3 linked regions of the Oryzias latipes genome follow. The protein of the gene in region 3 purifies or fractionates together with the protein of the main gene of each other region. This does not show direct contact. Links are inferred from orthologs where the notes say so. Each region holds a gene or a part of one and is shown on either strand. Other genes may lie near its edges. The genes, in order: rad23b, psmd5 and psmc6.

Region 1 (3,646 bases), on a different chromosome or scaffold from region 3:
TGTGTGTGTTTTTTTGTTCCAATCGTGATTGTAACTTATAGCGAATCTCGATGCAGAGCAGCCGTTTTTTTCCTTTGCTGCTGAGGGGATGTGGGAGGGCAGCACCCACCGCTACAAAAAAAAAAGAAAAGGCGACAACTTTATTTTAGCTGCCAAAAGACAAGTTTAAATCTTTATTCTAAACACAATAATGCAAAAAGGATGGGAAGAAATTTAATATCAATAAAATGTTTGAGGCTGCACAGCAAGTTTATGAAAAACCATTAAGTTCTCATTATTATTCAGACAAAAATAAGCAAGAATGCAGATTGGTTTTATTTTGAAACTTTGTCAAGGGATAAAAGGGTTTTGTTGCTGCTTCCTAAAGCAAATGTTACATGATCTTTAAACTGTTTTTGATTAAAACAAACCCGAATTTAGGAGTTTCAAAAAGTCATCAAACATTTAAAGTACCATTTTACCTCACAAAGTTTGGGGAACATGCTTTTATTTTGTAGCCTAAAACTGCTGCGCCCAGCCCAAAGTCTTCGTCAGCCTCTTCATCAGCTCCTTCATCGGCTCCCAGCTCTGCGGCTGCTGCAGCGGCCCCCACCCCACCATCTGTTGCAGACAAACCTGCAGAAGTAGCACCTGCTGACAAGCTGGAAGAGAAAGAGTCTTCCACAGCCGAGCCGCCGCCACCGCCGCCTCCCGCCAGGTAAAAGGCGCCTCCGTGTTTGTGGTTCTCGCTCTGAGGCATCCGACCTCACCGCTGTTTGATCCTCTTTCAGGAGCTCAGAGTCTTCGACAGACCTGCTCAGCGAAGCCGTTTCCACTCTGGGTGAGCCTGCTGCGGTGTGGGCGGCGAGCTGAGAGGTGAACTGGCCGTTTAAACTGTTGGTTTGTCTTCCCAGTGACGGGTTCGTCCTACGACACCATGGTGAACGAGATGATGCTGATGGGCTATGAGAGGGAGCAGGTGGTGGCCGCTCTGAGGGCCAGCTACAACAACCCCGACAGAGCCGTGGAGTACCTGCTCTCTGTAAGACACGCCCCCAACCCTCCCACAGCCAATCCAAAGCCAGGGTGCTGTCTTCCACACGAAAAGGTGGAGTTATTGTCGGTGTCACCCCTAGGGTATCCCGGGTCAAGATCAAGGCTCCAGAACCGGACCCGATTCCACGCCTGCAGTGAGCGAATCTCCAGCTGCGCCTGCAGGGGGCACCGCCGCTCCCACCAGCACCGAGTCCTCACCGAGTGCAGGAGGGGGTACGACAACCACATTTCTTTTTTTTTCCTTTCTTTTGACGCCCTAATAAAAGCAATATTTGCTTCCACTTTCTGGACCATCAGGAAATCCTCTGGGCTTCCTCAGAAACCAGCCTCAGTTCCACGTCATGCGGCAGCTGATCCAGCAGAACGCCGCGCTGCTCCCAGCGCTCCTGCAGGAGATCGGCAGAGAGAACCCGGAGCTGCTGCAGGTGAGGAGCAGACCTCCACCAGCCCAACAACAAATCCAACAAAGCAGGCTTCCATGAACAGGAATGTTCAGGAACATCTGGCTAAGTTTAAAAACAGAAAAACAAAGCAAAGAAAAGAAACACAATGTGAAGAAAAGAAAAAAAGAAGCTATTTTAGGAGGGAAACCATCTGTAAATTTGTCGAATTCTCCCTTGGTTCCCATTTTCAGTGAAGCAACTCGCTAGCATTACTAACATAGTTGCTAAAGGAAATACTATGAAAACGTCGCACCAGACGGAGAACCACAGAAGAAGAGGATGAAAAACAAGAACATTAAGAAGAACAAACATAAAAATGTGTATCAGAAAACAAAAAAACAGGAATTGTTTTTTTCTCAGAAATCTGATTTTAAGGTTTCAATGCAACGAAAAATGGCGACATCTGGTGGCCAGTTGAAGCCATAGCAGCCTCTGACCTCATCCTGGGAAAAAAGCGTCTGCTGATGCCTTCTTCATCTGCATGCACAAATCTATTACATTTTAATTCTTTTATTTTCCAATCAATTGATGACTAATAATTCTAAGTTAGATGTATGTGTGGATAGATATACATTCATTCCAATCCTCACACTCTGATGCTAAAAAAAACCCCTCTGGAATAAATAGAATAAACAAAATGAGAAAAGGCAGTTTTTTTTCATAGAAAAACTTTATTTAAAACGCATGACTTGCTTTAAAGTGGCTTCAATGACAGCGATGTGGTATGAATGAACACAGACTAATCATAATAAAATGTTTTTAAAGCTTTTATTGTGAAGCTTCCATGAGAATCTGCAGCAGAACTGTTTAACTCATATTATGTCAAATCATTTTTAGTCTCTATCGGATTTTTGATGCTCCATTCTTCGAGTCTGTCATTTGCTTCTGCAGGAGATCAGCAACCACCAGGAGCAGTTTATCCAGATGCTGAATGAGCCAAATCCTGATCCAGTGCCAGGAGGAGGAGGAGGAGGAGGTGGCGGTGGTGGTGGAGGAGGAGGAGCGAGGGGGGCTGGAGGCACAGGAGCTGACACTTCCGGAGAAAGTCAGATGAGCTACATCCAGGTCACACCGCAGGAGAAGGAGGCCATCGAGAGGGTGAGGCGGAGAATAGTTCTGTGATTGGTAACGTTGACCCACTTTAGATCATAAGTCTCACCAAATATCAGGAGTTTTTTTCTTTTTTTGCTGAAGGTTCAGCGCAGGTTTAAATGTTTCCCGACTCTCCTGCAGTGATGGTAAGCGGAGAATTCTGTTTCTGTTTCGGTTTTGCAGCTGAAAGCCCTGGGATTTCCTGAGGGACTCGTCATTCAGGCCTACTTTGCATGCGAGAAGAACGAGAACTTGGCGGCCAACTTCCTTCTACAGCAGAACTTTGACGACGATTAAAACAAACTTTTCTTTTTCATATTTTTCTTCCTTCAATTTCTCTCTGATGTTCACTACAAACTTGCAAAAAAAAAAAGAAGCCTTTTAGCTCCTAAAAGTGTTTTCCTCTGCACTTCTACATCCAGTGTTCCTGATGAGACGCGCTCACCATCAGATGTGATGATGGATGTTCTGTTAGCATCTTCAAATGAATGAATGATTAAAAGACGCTCGATCTGGTGTCCCAGTTCATCTGCATTCCTGTTCATTTCACACACGAGAAGGGTTGAAACCTGAAGATTTTGTTTTGGGATCTTTTTTTTCCCCAAATCCACTTCATCGTAATCCGGGAGAACCTAAAGGCCTTATTTATTTATTTATTTTACTTTTTTGGGCTGCTGTTGACACCTGGACACTTATGTTGCAAATATGCATCAAACCACTCTGACTCCAAAATTACCTTAATTTAGCATCTACATGAATGCAGTAAAATAGGTAAACATTGTCTTTCATAGCCAAGAAATGAATTCAGGAATCAAGGGATTAACTGTTGCTAACCAAAGGGAACACAGATGATTAAAAACAAACCATATTCAGATCAAAATCCAAGAAGAAAATTGTTCTCGGGGTTATCCAGGATTAAAGATCAAATATGTATTTTAATAGATGGTATGCTACGGAGCCCCCAAAGGGACTTAAAAGTAAAACAAAAAAAGTAGTACTTTTTTTTATACCTTTCACATTCCTTTTTAAAGGCTCCATAGTCTCATTTTGTTTAAATTCTATTTAACCCTTGTGCT
Region 2 (4,368 bases), on a different chromosome or scaffold from region 3:
GAGCACAGAGACCCACAAAAACATCAGCGGACACGGGCGCAAGGACCAATGCAGATGCCACATACACCTTCCGGACTACATCTTGGGACAGCACATAGGCGGTGTCATCGCAATATTCGGGCAGGTATTTGGCAGGGTACAGAGCGGGGGGCAGGTACCCGGGACTCTTAGGGTCCCTGTTAGGTTGGTCTTGTTGAATCACTCTGCCTAGGTACAGATCCTCTGGGTGTCTGTGTAGTCTGAGCAGGTAGCTGCCAAGAGCTGGAAGGTTGACAAACACAGATTCCTTGGTCAGCAGAACAAATCGTGCCAGGGGACAGAAGGAGATCACCCAGCGGAGAGCCAGCACGGTCCTCTCCTTTGAGCCATGGAGGGACCGCTCTGCTCCAGCATAAGCCTGGATTACATCTCCATAACGCTCAGATTCACTTAGGAGCTCCTGATGCGCAGCAGAAGTGTCAGACAGCGCTAAGAAAAAAAATGTCTTCACTGGAAAGCCTTCAATCAGGGTTTGGTTTGCCCATGTCTTCCTCACAGCGTCTCTTTGGGAGATGTTTCCTGCAGAGCTGAAGACCAAAGCGAGAAGAAAGAGGTCAGAGTTTCTGCAAGCCTCAGCGTTTGTTATAGGGTACTCAAAGGAAATGTTTTCCCTGGCATCGCTCAGGTCCAATTTCCTTGCTTTCTCCCTCACGCCAGTAACCATGGCATCAGTGTAAACCCCTGGCGTGGGCTGCAGGAGGTACTCCTCCACAAAATCTGCCCCGAACAGCAAGGCATGGAAGAGCAGTACGTTGAAAAGCAGGAAACACCACTGGTGGGTACGCAGCTTGAACAAACAGATCTAAAATTTTGAAATGAAACAGTTCTTCAAATTCAATTTCCTGAAAACGCTTTAAGCATCTGAAGACTCTTATGCTTACCCGCATTATTTGCTTCTTCAGTGTTAATCTGTAACACAGGTGAGACTGTGGTGAGCTGGAAAACAATAGTAGAGGATAGAGAGGGTTTTCCATGTCATAGAAACTCTAGAAGCTTGCAACTCTACACCTCATCAGCAGTACAGCTCCTACCTGAGTTTCTGCATCATGCACACAGAGGATGAAGAAACATTGTCTCTTACAAATGCTTGAATGAAAAATGTTCAAGTAATTGAACAATTCTTTAAAGATTAATTGACATTCTATATGTGGGGTAACTTTAAAATGACTGAGATTAGAAGCTGAAATAAAAATTGAAGACTGCGATATAAACATTGTTTTGTACTTGAAACAGACTGCGAGTGTTCGTCGCTGCATTGTTTTAGCTCCAAAATTGAAACATTATGGCTCATTTTAAGGGGTATTTACAAATATACAAATAGATTAAACCAAAATTCCTCAAGTAAAATAAAGTACAAGGGTTTTTTGTTGATAAAAAATCAAAATACATTACATGGTGTTAAAATCTGAGTGGTTGTTGTGTTGTCCTCCCTCCACCAGGTGGCGCTAATGGCTTAACACTCTTGTCGACTTTTTCGACTAACCATGACGAAGAAGAGGCGCAGGCGCACGCATATTCGAGAGACGGGTACGTCTCTGCCAGTCATGGCTGCTTTGATTCAAAGTTTGCTGGAAGAAATCTCCAGAATAGAAGATCCAGTTGAGGAGTTACAGAGCTTAAAAACGGCGCTGCTTTCTATATCTGTCAGTGCATTGAGAGACTCAGTGAGCGGACAACGTCTGGATGTAATATTTTCTCTGCTCAGCTCCAATGACAGGTTGGTTCGGTCCTGTGTTTACAATGTTAACAGAAACTGCCAAAACTGCTGCTAGCTAACTGCTGAGTCAGTCCGGCAGGCTTTGGCGTTTGTGTGGTGAATTGTAAATTAAAAAAGTAAACTACACATATATTTTTACAGTATGCTACTAGTTAGCATGCTTAGGCTAAATGTTTCTAAAGAGAGTTTTGTACTACTATACTCTTTTATTTTGTTCTCTTTTTACAAATAAAATAAACAGCATTAAAAATAGCCTTTTTTGGAAATAAAAAATCTCCCAGGTTTTTTTTAAGAAAAAAAAAACTTAATGAGGTTGATACCGTTTATTTTATGATGTAAACTAATTATCTACAGCTTTTGCTGCCGTAAAAATCTAAAGCAGTGTACGTTTTCTTTGTTTAATTCCTCAGATATAAGCTGCACGAGACACCCACTACATTTGCAAAATAAAAGAAAATTATTTCTTCACTTTAAACTTGTTTTCAAATAAAGATGTTAGCAACGTGAGAATTAAAGATAGAGAATGAAATGGAACATCCCAATTATTTCCGCTCACAGCATGATCTACAAATTGATGTTTGATTATCTGAAAAAATAATGTCAATACCAGCGGGCTTCATGTTTAAGTTTGCCTTTTTTTGTAGATGAAATTAAATGCTTTAAAAGCATTGTTTGAGCACAAAAAAATCCTTGTTTTTATTGTTTGTTTTAAAAAACAACAACTTTATTGTTAATTTAATGGATATATAATCTTTGTCTTCTTTCTTTTCCATTACTATCTTAGTTTCCTCTGTCACTTCAACTTTTCCTCTTTGTCAAGAAGAGAAATCTTTTTGAGTTTACCTGAGTTTTTACTTGAGTTTACATATAATTTCAGGATAACTTTGACCAAAAAAAAAAAAATCGTGGATAAAAATAAATGTGGCGGTAGTCTGGGTAGCTCGTTTGGTAAGGTGAGAGACTACCACGCAGGAATCCAGGGTTCGATTCCCGGAGGGGAATGAACAATGGTAATCAGGCAATTACCATATCAATGGCGAGCAATTCACATCACCCAGTGAGGGGCCTTGGGCAAGACCCTTAATGGGCAAGGCCCTTAACGCTACTGACTCCCGGGCGCGGTTCGACTGCAGCCCACCGCTCCCCCAGGGGATGGGTCAAATGCGGAGAAGAATTTCCCCATTGTGGGATAAATACAGTATCAGTTATTTACCAGCTCAGTGGCCTTGTGGTTAAAGTGTCCGCCCTGTAAGGGCCGAGTCTTACCAAAGACTTTAAAAATGGGACTCAATCCCTCCCTGCTTGACACTCAGCATTAAGGGGTTTGACTGGGGGGTTTAAGCCACCAAATGTTTCCGGAGCGCGGCTGTGTCTGCAGCTCACCGCTCCCCCAGGGGATGGCTCAAATGCGGAGAACAAATTTCCCACACCTAGGTGTGTGAAAGATAGACTAAGTATAATATATAAATTAACTGTTATTTGAGTTCTACAAGACAAAAAGTGAGGACTAACAGTGACTCAAAATTAGCTTTCAACCTAATTCACCTGAGTTGAACAAAAAGATGGAAAATAAATGTGAAAGTTTGTTATTTAGTGAAGTGAGGTTGTATTGAGTTGGGGTAAAACTGGAATAAGAGGAGGGACTACAGTAGGAGCAGTACAATCTGTCTCTCAGGTTGTTTTATCATCTGTCAGACAAGCCTAGTATAGAAAACGGACAAACTGAAAGCAGCAGGTCAAACGCATTTATGTGAAAATTAGCACAAACTTTTTCTTTGATCCTTAAGCATGTCATAAAGATGTTTGTTGTGTTTTGCTTTTCTTGAATTTTAGTTTTATGTGTTTTCCATTTTCTGTCCAATGTGACTTTTAAAAAAGCCTTGCCTACTTGTTACTTTCTACAATAAAAGCATTTCTGTGTGTGGAATTGCGCTTGCTGTTTCCTGAAAGAACTTTGAATTGACATCTGCTGCTCAGCAAAGTATTTGAAAGTTTTGTCCTGTTTTCTCGCTGTGATCTGTAAAGGACAAAGAGGAACTTAGTGTGGACTGTTGATCTTTGACAAGGCCCTCTGAATTTCGGCCACACTTTTTGATTTGTGTTTATAGGCAGCAAGTGGAGCTTTGTGTGGAGATTCTGGACCGGATCCTGATGGCCCTCAGCCCTCTTTATCTGGTCCAGAACTACAGGACAGAGCTGCAGGGAGGTTTGACCCATCCAAATGAAACCGTGAAGATTCTGGCTTTAACTCAGGTATATTTATGAGCTGTTTGTACCCAAACATTGCAGACAGCTTCCCATAATAAGTAAACACCACTTTTTTTGTTTTGTTTTTTGGTAATTCGTCAGATTGGCAGAATGGTGGATCATCCAGACGCCGCCACAGAAATCCTCAACAACGAGGACATTCTAAAAGCTGTTATCCTCTGCATCGGAGAGGAAAAGATGTCTGTGGCAAAACAGGTCAGCACTCAGCCTTTTAAAGGACCTCAGTGAGTTTTGGTTCGTCAACAGGGTTTTACTAAATGCCTTTTTTTCCCCCTCTTTTAGGCAATTAAATCTTTGTCTAAACTGAGTTACTCCAAACCTGGATTGGACAAATTATTCCACAG
Region 3 (3,963 bases):
GCTCCTCCTCGGCTACCATCAACCCGACGTGCACCGGCAACTTCTCAAGAGCTTTGCCATCCGCCAGCCACTGCGCGCGGCGGCTGCCAGTGTCAGCGCGGCTCCCGCTCACGGGGCTCCGCTCCAGCTTCTTCTGAGAGTCCGTCGGCAGAGCCGCGGGCAGGAGGAGCGCCGCCGCCATCCGCTCCCACAAGCTACCGCCGCGGTTCCGCAGGCGGCCTCGAAGCCACGACATGAGGGCTCTCTTGACGCGAAGCAGAGCGAGCAGGAGCCGCCAAAGCAGGCCGTACAGCAGCGCCATGAGTGCAGCTCCTACTCTGGAGAAATCAGGGAGAAGATTGATTTGCGTGGCTCCGCCGCACTGGAGCGACTCTCAGCTCCCCGCTTTCACTACAGCTGCTGGTTCCACTTCAGCAAACGGTGCTCCACTCCTCGGCTGGTTCCGATAGGCCAACTGGTTCTGTGTGTTAGGTTGTTTCTGTTCGAATCACCTCAGCCCCGCCAATGTATCACCACCTCCACCATAACCCTGCCTGTCAACCTCCGAACTCTGACCTGCGGTGCTGCGTGATACACGGAGCTCTCTGATTGGTCGATACCACAGTGACGGAAACGAGGCCCGCCCAACAATTCAGGGTAGTGTCCCCAGTGGTCAGCGTGCGTATTGCAGGCAATGCTTATTTTTACATGCTTTATGTCTTGAATACTTTCTTTACATTCAAGTAGCAATTCTCAATTTATATCTAACACAGATCTGCTACTTATTTAATATATAAATGTATTAAATAAAATCAAAATGTATTGACTTTATTTCAACAAGGCAACTTTCCATTTGTGGGATAAATAAAGCGTTATTCTAAATTAAATACATTCATTAATTCATCTTCTTCCGTTTATTCCCTTTCGGGGTCATGGAGCTGCTGGAGCCTATCCCGGCCGCTTGTGGGCGAAGGCAGGGGACACCCTGGACAGGTCGCCAGTCTCTGTCACACAAGTAGAGAATCACACACCCACGCAGTCTCACATTCACTCCAATGGACACTTTAGATTAACCAATTAACCTATGAAGCATGTTTTTGGTCGGTAGAAGGAAGCCGGAGTCCCCAGAAAAAACCCACGCATGCACGTGGCGAACATGGAAACTCCACACAGAGAGGTCCCCCATTGATGTTCCGGTTCTTCAGGTCCCCCAGCCAGGACTTGAATCGGGGGCCTTCTTGCTATGAGGCAAGAGCGCCAACCACTGCCCCAATACATTTAAATAAAAATGCCTATTAACAGTAATGTGTTTTACCAAACATCGATTTTCCTTATGTTTATTTGACCTAATGGAAAAATTGACCATTTTAAAAAGAGAGAACGTGGTTATTGCACACATCTTACCGCTAGGCGGCAGTAGCGCGCCCAGCAGTTGCCGCTGATCCATAAAAGAAGTATCGCTCCCCCCTCATTCAGGCAGCGTCATGGCGGACACAAGAGAAAAAGCTTTGCAAGATTACAGAAAGAAACTTTTGGAGCATAAGGAGGTTGACGGACGGCTCAAAGAATGTGAGAACGTGTCTATATCAGTTTGGTGAAAAATAGACAGCAATTTAGCTTGAACTGTTTGCGTTTTCATTTCGATAATCGATAGCCGCGTCTCTCTGATGTTCCTGCTGTGTCATGTAGTTAGCATGTCAGTCTGTGGCCTCAGCCGGGTAAACACACCTTGAACCCAGTTTGCGACTGGATCCCATTTAAGTGGGACCCTTGTGGGTCTTACTAATATAGTCTACTTTGAATCTGGGATTGTTACACCCAAAATTGGACGTTTTTTTGGTGCTATGCTAGCTCCAGCAGCTAACATACAAAACTCAAGCTATGGAAATCTGCAGTGAGACCGCTCAGAGAGCAGAGTCACAGAAGAACCACACCGATTTCTTCTTTAATAAATTGACTACACGGTTACCAGCGGTTTTCAGCGTCTATTTCTGTTGTGTTTTTTAATTCTTTAAAATTGTAACGATAACAAAAACACTGTCCTTTGTGTTAGTGAGGGAGCAGCTCAGAGACCAAACAAAACAATATGAGAAGTCAGAGAACGACCTGAAGGCTTTGCAGAGTGTTGGCCAGGTAAGAACCCAACCTGTCACCGTTTTACAGCCATATATACCTGCTTCATTCTTGCTTATCCACAAAAGTTATAAGTAAAAAAAAAAAGAATAATGAAATCAGTCTTTTCTTTGAAAATGTAATTTTGAAAACTCAAATTCATGGTTAACTTTGTCATTATAGCCATATCCTGTAATGTGCTTTCCAAAAAAATAGTTTTAGTTACAGGTTGACTGTAATCATTAGCATTTATTTGAACCAGAACTTTACCCCTTTTTCTATGCAAGTCACAGATTAAATTGTGGAAATTGTTTTTTATTAACAGCTGAAATGTAAAAAAAGAAAGGTGAAGCAATATTAAATGAATGACTGGAAAAGCTGTGAAAATTAATAGAAAAACATTTGAAGCCAGAAATAACCCCCCCCCCCCCCCCCCCCCCCCCCCCCCCCCCGTGGTCCCTGAACTCACCGGTGAGTCTGCCAATCACATCAGCCGTTTACAATAATACAGGAATGATACAGACCCCCCCCCTCCTATCAGCATTGTTCCCATTCAAAATTTAACATGGTTTCAAAGAATTCTTAGCCATGAAATTGTTCTTTTAAAATAAACTTTATCACAAATCTTGATGATACCCCTTGAATAACCCCCCCCCCCCCCCCCCCAATACCTTTTCCTCATTGTTTGGACCTTGTCTTTGCTTTCTTTTTAGATTTATACATGTTTAATCTTTTTGTTATAAAACGTAAACCGGTTTGATCTCATGTTTTATAATCAAGAATCAAGGAAAATTGTACAACTTGGAATTGAGTTTTTTCTTTTTTTCTTTTATTTTGGGGGGGGGGGGTCGGGTTCATTGTGGAATTATGATATAATAAAATCAAAAATACAGCTAAGTAGAACCTAGGGTTGTACTTGCAAGATGGATATCAAGGATTGCCACAAAACGCATTCTTTGATATTAAGGTTAATTGGATCAATGACAAAAACTGTAGCATTCAGTTTCTGCCTCTAGAAATCATTACTAATTTCACATACGATCTATCTAGTATGCACATGCAATATTTTCAGTCACATGGAGTCTCATTGAAGGGACAATAGGAAATGCCAGGCTTACTGTACTACATTCAGGCATGTCAGGTAAACTGAAGTTTATTTAAGGCTGCGTATTGATTTTTTTTTTTTTTTTTTTTTGGTCTGTGACGTCTTCTTACAGATTGTTGGAGAGGTGCTGAAACAGCTCACAGAGGAAAAATGTAAGTTTATTGAATATTTGCTCCAAATAAGAGGGTATGAATACCTTAGGTTGGAGCTTTGTCAACCTGCTGAGATAAGATTTGTTTTCTTTGGCGTTCTCGCTTGTGTTCTGTTGACGACAGTTGTGTGAAACCTGAAGCTTTGTGTTCTTTACTTTGGGTTTCCGCATCACAGCAGACAAAAACAGACAAATGAAAACGTTTGTGCTTTCCCCCTGAGATCAGCTTCATCTAACGTTTGTATCTGTGACGTTTATTCCTTCCTCCTCTCTTTCTTCCAGTCATCGTGAAGGCCACCAACGGCCCACGCTATGTGGTTGGATGTCGCAGGCAGGTGGGGGCTGCTCCTGTTCCGACTCAGATCTATTTTCACCTGATGATTCTGCTGCAGATTCTAACGTCAGTCTGTTCCTGTTCCATTGAACTGTTCTGGTCATTTCAGTCCTTAAAGCTTTTTAGAACATTTTATTCCCATGTTGTTTTAAAGGTATCGTTTCGTCCTCCAAAGACGTTTGAATCATTGATTTCTGCTCACAGGCTCTGTTGTGTTTCACCTCACCTTAAACTCGCTTTTCTGATCCGCTTGAGCTGAAAAAGTCACCTTTTGATTTGTGC

Evidence for each region.
Region 1: the proteins of psmc6 (region 3) and rad23b fractionate together in Homo sapiens (co-fractionation; 4 studies listed by BioGRID and IntAct, with this or other methods). This does not show direct contact. The link is inferred for Oryzias latipes from reciprocal best matches to the Homo sapiens genes PSMC6 and RAD23B.
Region 2: the proteins of psmc6 (region 3) and psmd5 purify together in Homo sapiens (co-immunoprecipitation; 4 studies listed by BioGRID and IntAct, counting the BioPlex papers as one, with this or other methods). This does not show direct contact. The link is inferred for Oryzias latipes from reciprocal best matches to the Homo sapiens genes PSMC6 and PSMD5.

What each region holds. Positions count from the first base shown.
Region 1 is NC_019870.2:9,293,611-9,297,256, forward strand, and holds the end of rad23b (UV excision repair protein RAD23 homolog B), read left to right. Parts: intron 1-497; coding exon 498-697; intron 698-770; coding exon 771-820; intron 821-893; coding exon 894-1,021; intron 1,022-1,115; coding exon 1,116-1,248; intron 1,249-1,332; coding exon 1,333-1,460; intron 1,461-2,369; coding exon 2,370-2,576; intron 2,577-2,753; coding exon 2,754-2,867; 3' UTR 2,868-3,098; downstream 3,099-3,646. UniProt on the Homo sapiens protein: Multiubiquitin chain receptor involved in modulation of proteasomal degradation. Binds to polyubiquitin chains.
Region 2 is NC_019870.2:8,935,001-8,939,368, reverse strand, and holds the start of psmd5 (26S proteasome non-ATPase regulatory subunit 5), read left to right. Parts: upstream 1-1,508; 5' UTR 1,509-1,523; coding exon 1,524-1,756; intron 1,757-3,864; coding exon 3,865-4,009; intron 4,010-4,105; coding exon 4,106-4,219; intron 4,220-4,306; coding exon 4,307-4,368. Other genes in the region: putative UDP-GlcNAc:betaGal beta-1,3-N-acetylglucosaminyltransferase LOC100288842, read right to left, coding at 1-703. UniProt on the Homo sapiens protein: Acts as a chaperone during the assembly of the 26S proteasome, specifically of the base subcomplex of the PA700/19S regulatory complex (RC).
Region 3 is NC_019882.2:10,564,353-10,568,315, reverse strand, and holds the start of psmc6 (26S proteasome regulatory subunit 10B), read left to right. Parts: upstream 1-1,163; 5' UTR 1,164-1,463; coding exon 1,464-1,548; intron 1,549-2,032; coding exon 2,033-2,112; intron 2,113-3,308; coding exon 3,309-3,348; intron 3,349-3,629; coding exon 3,630-3,682; intron 3,683-3,963. Other genes in the region: dehydrodolichyl diphosphate synthase complex subunit NUS1, read right to left, coding at 1-301. UniProt on the Homo sapiens protein: Component of the 26S proteasome, a multiprotein complex involved in the ATP-dependent degradation of ubiquitinated proteins.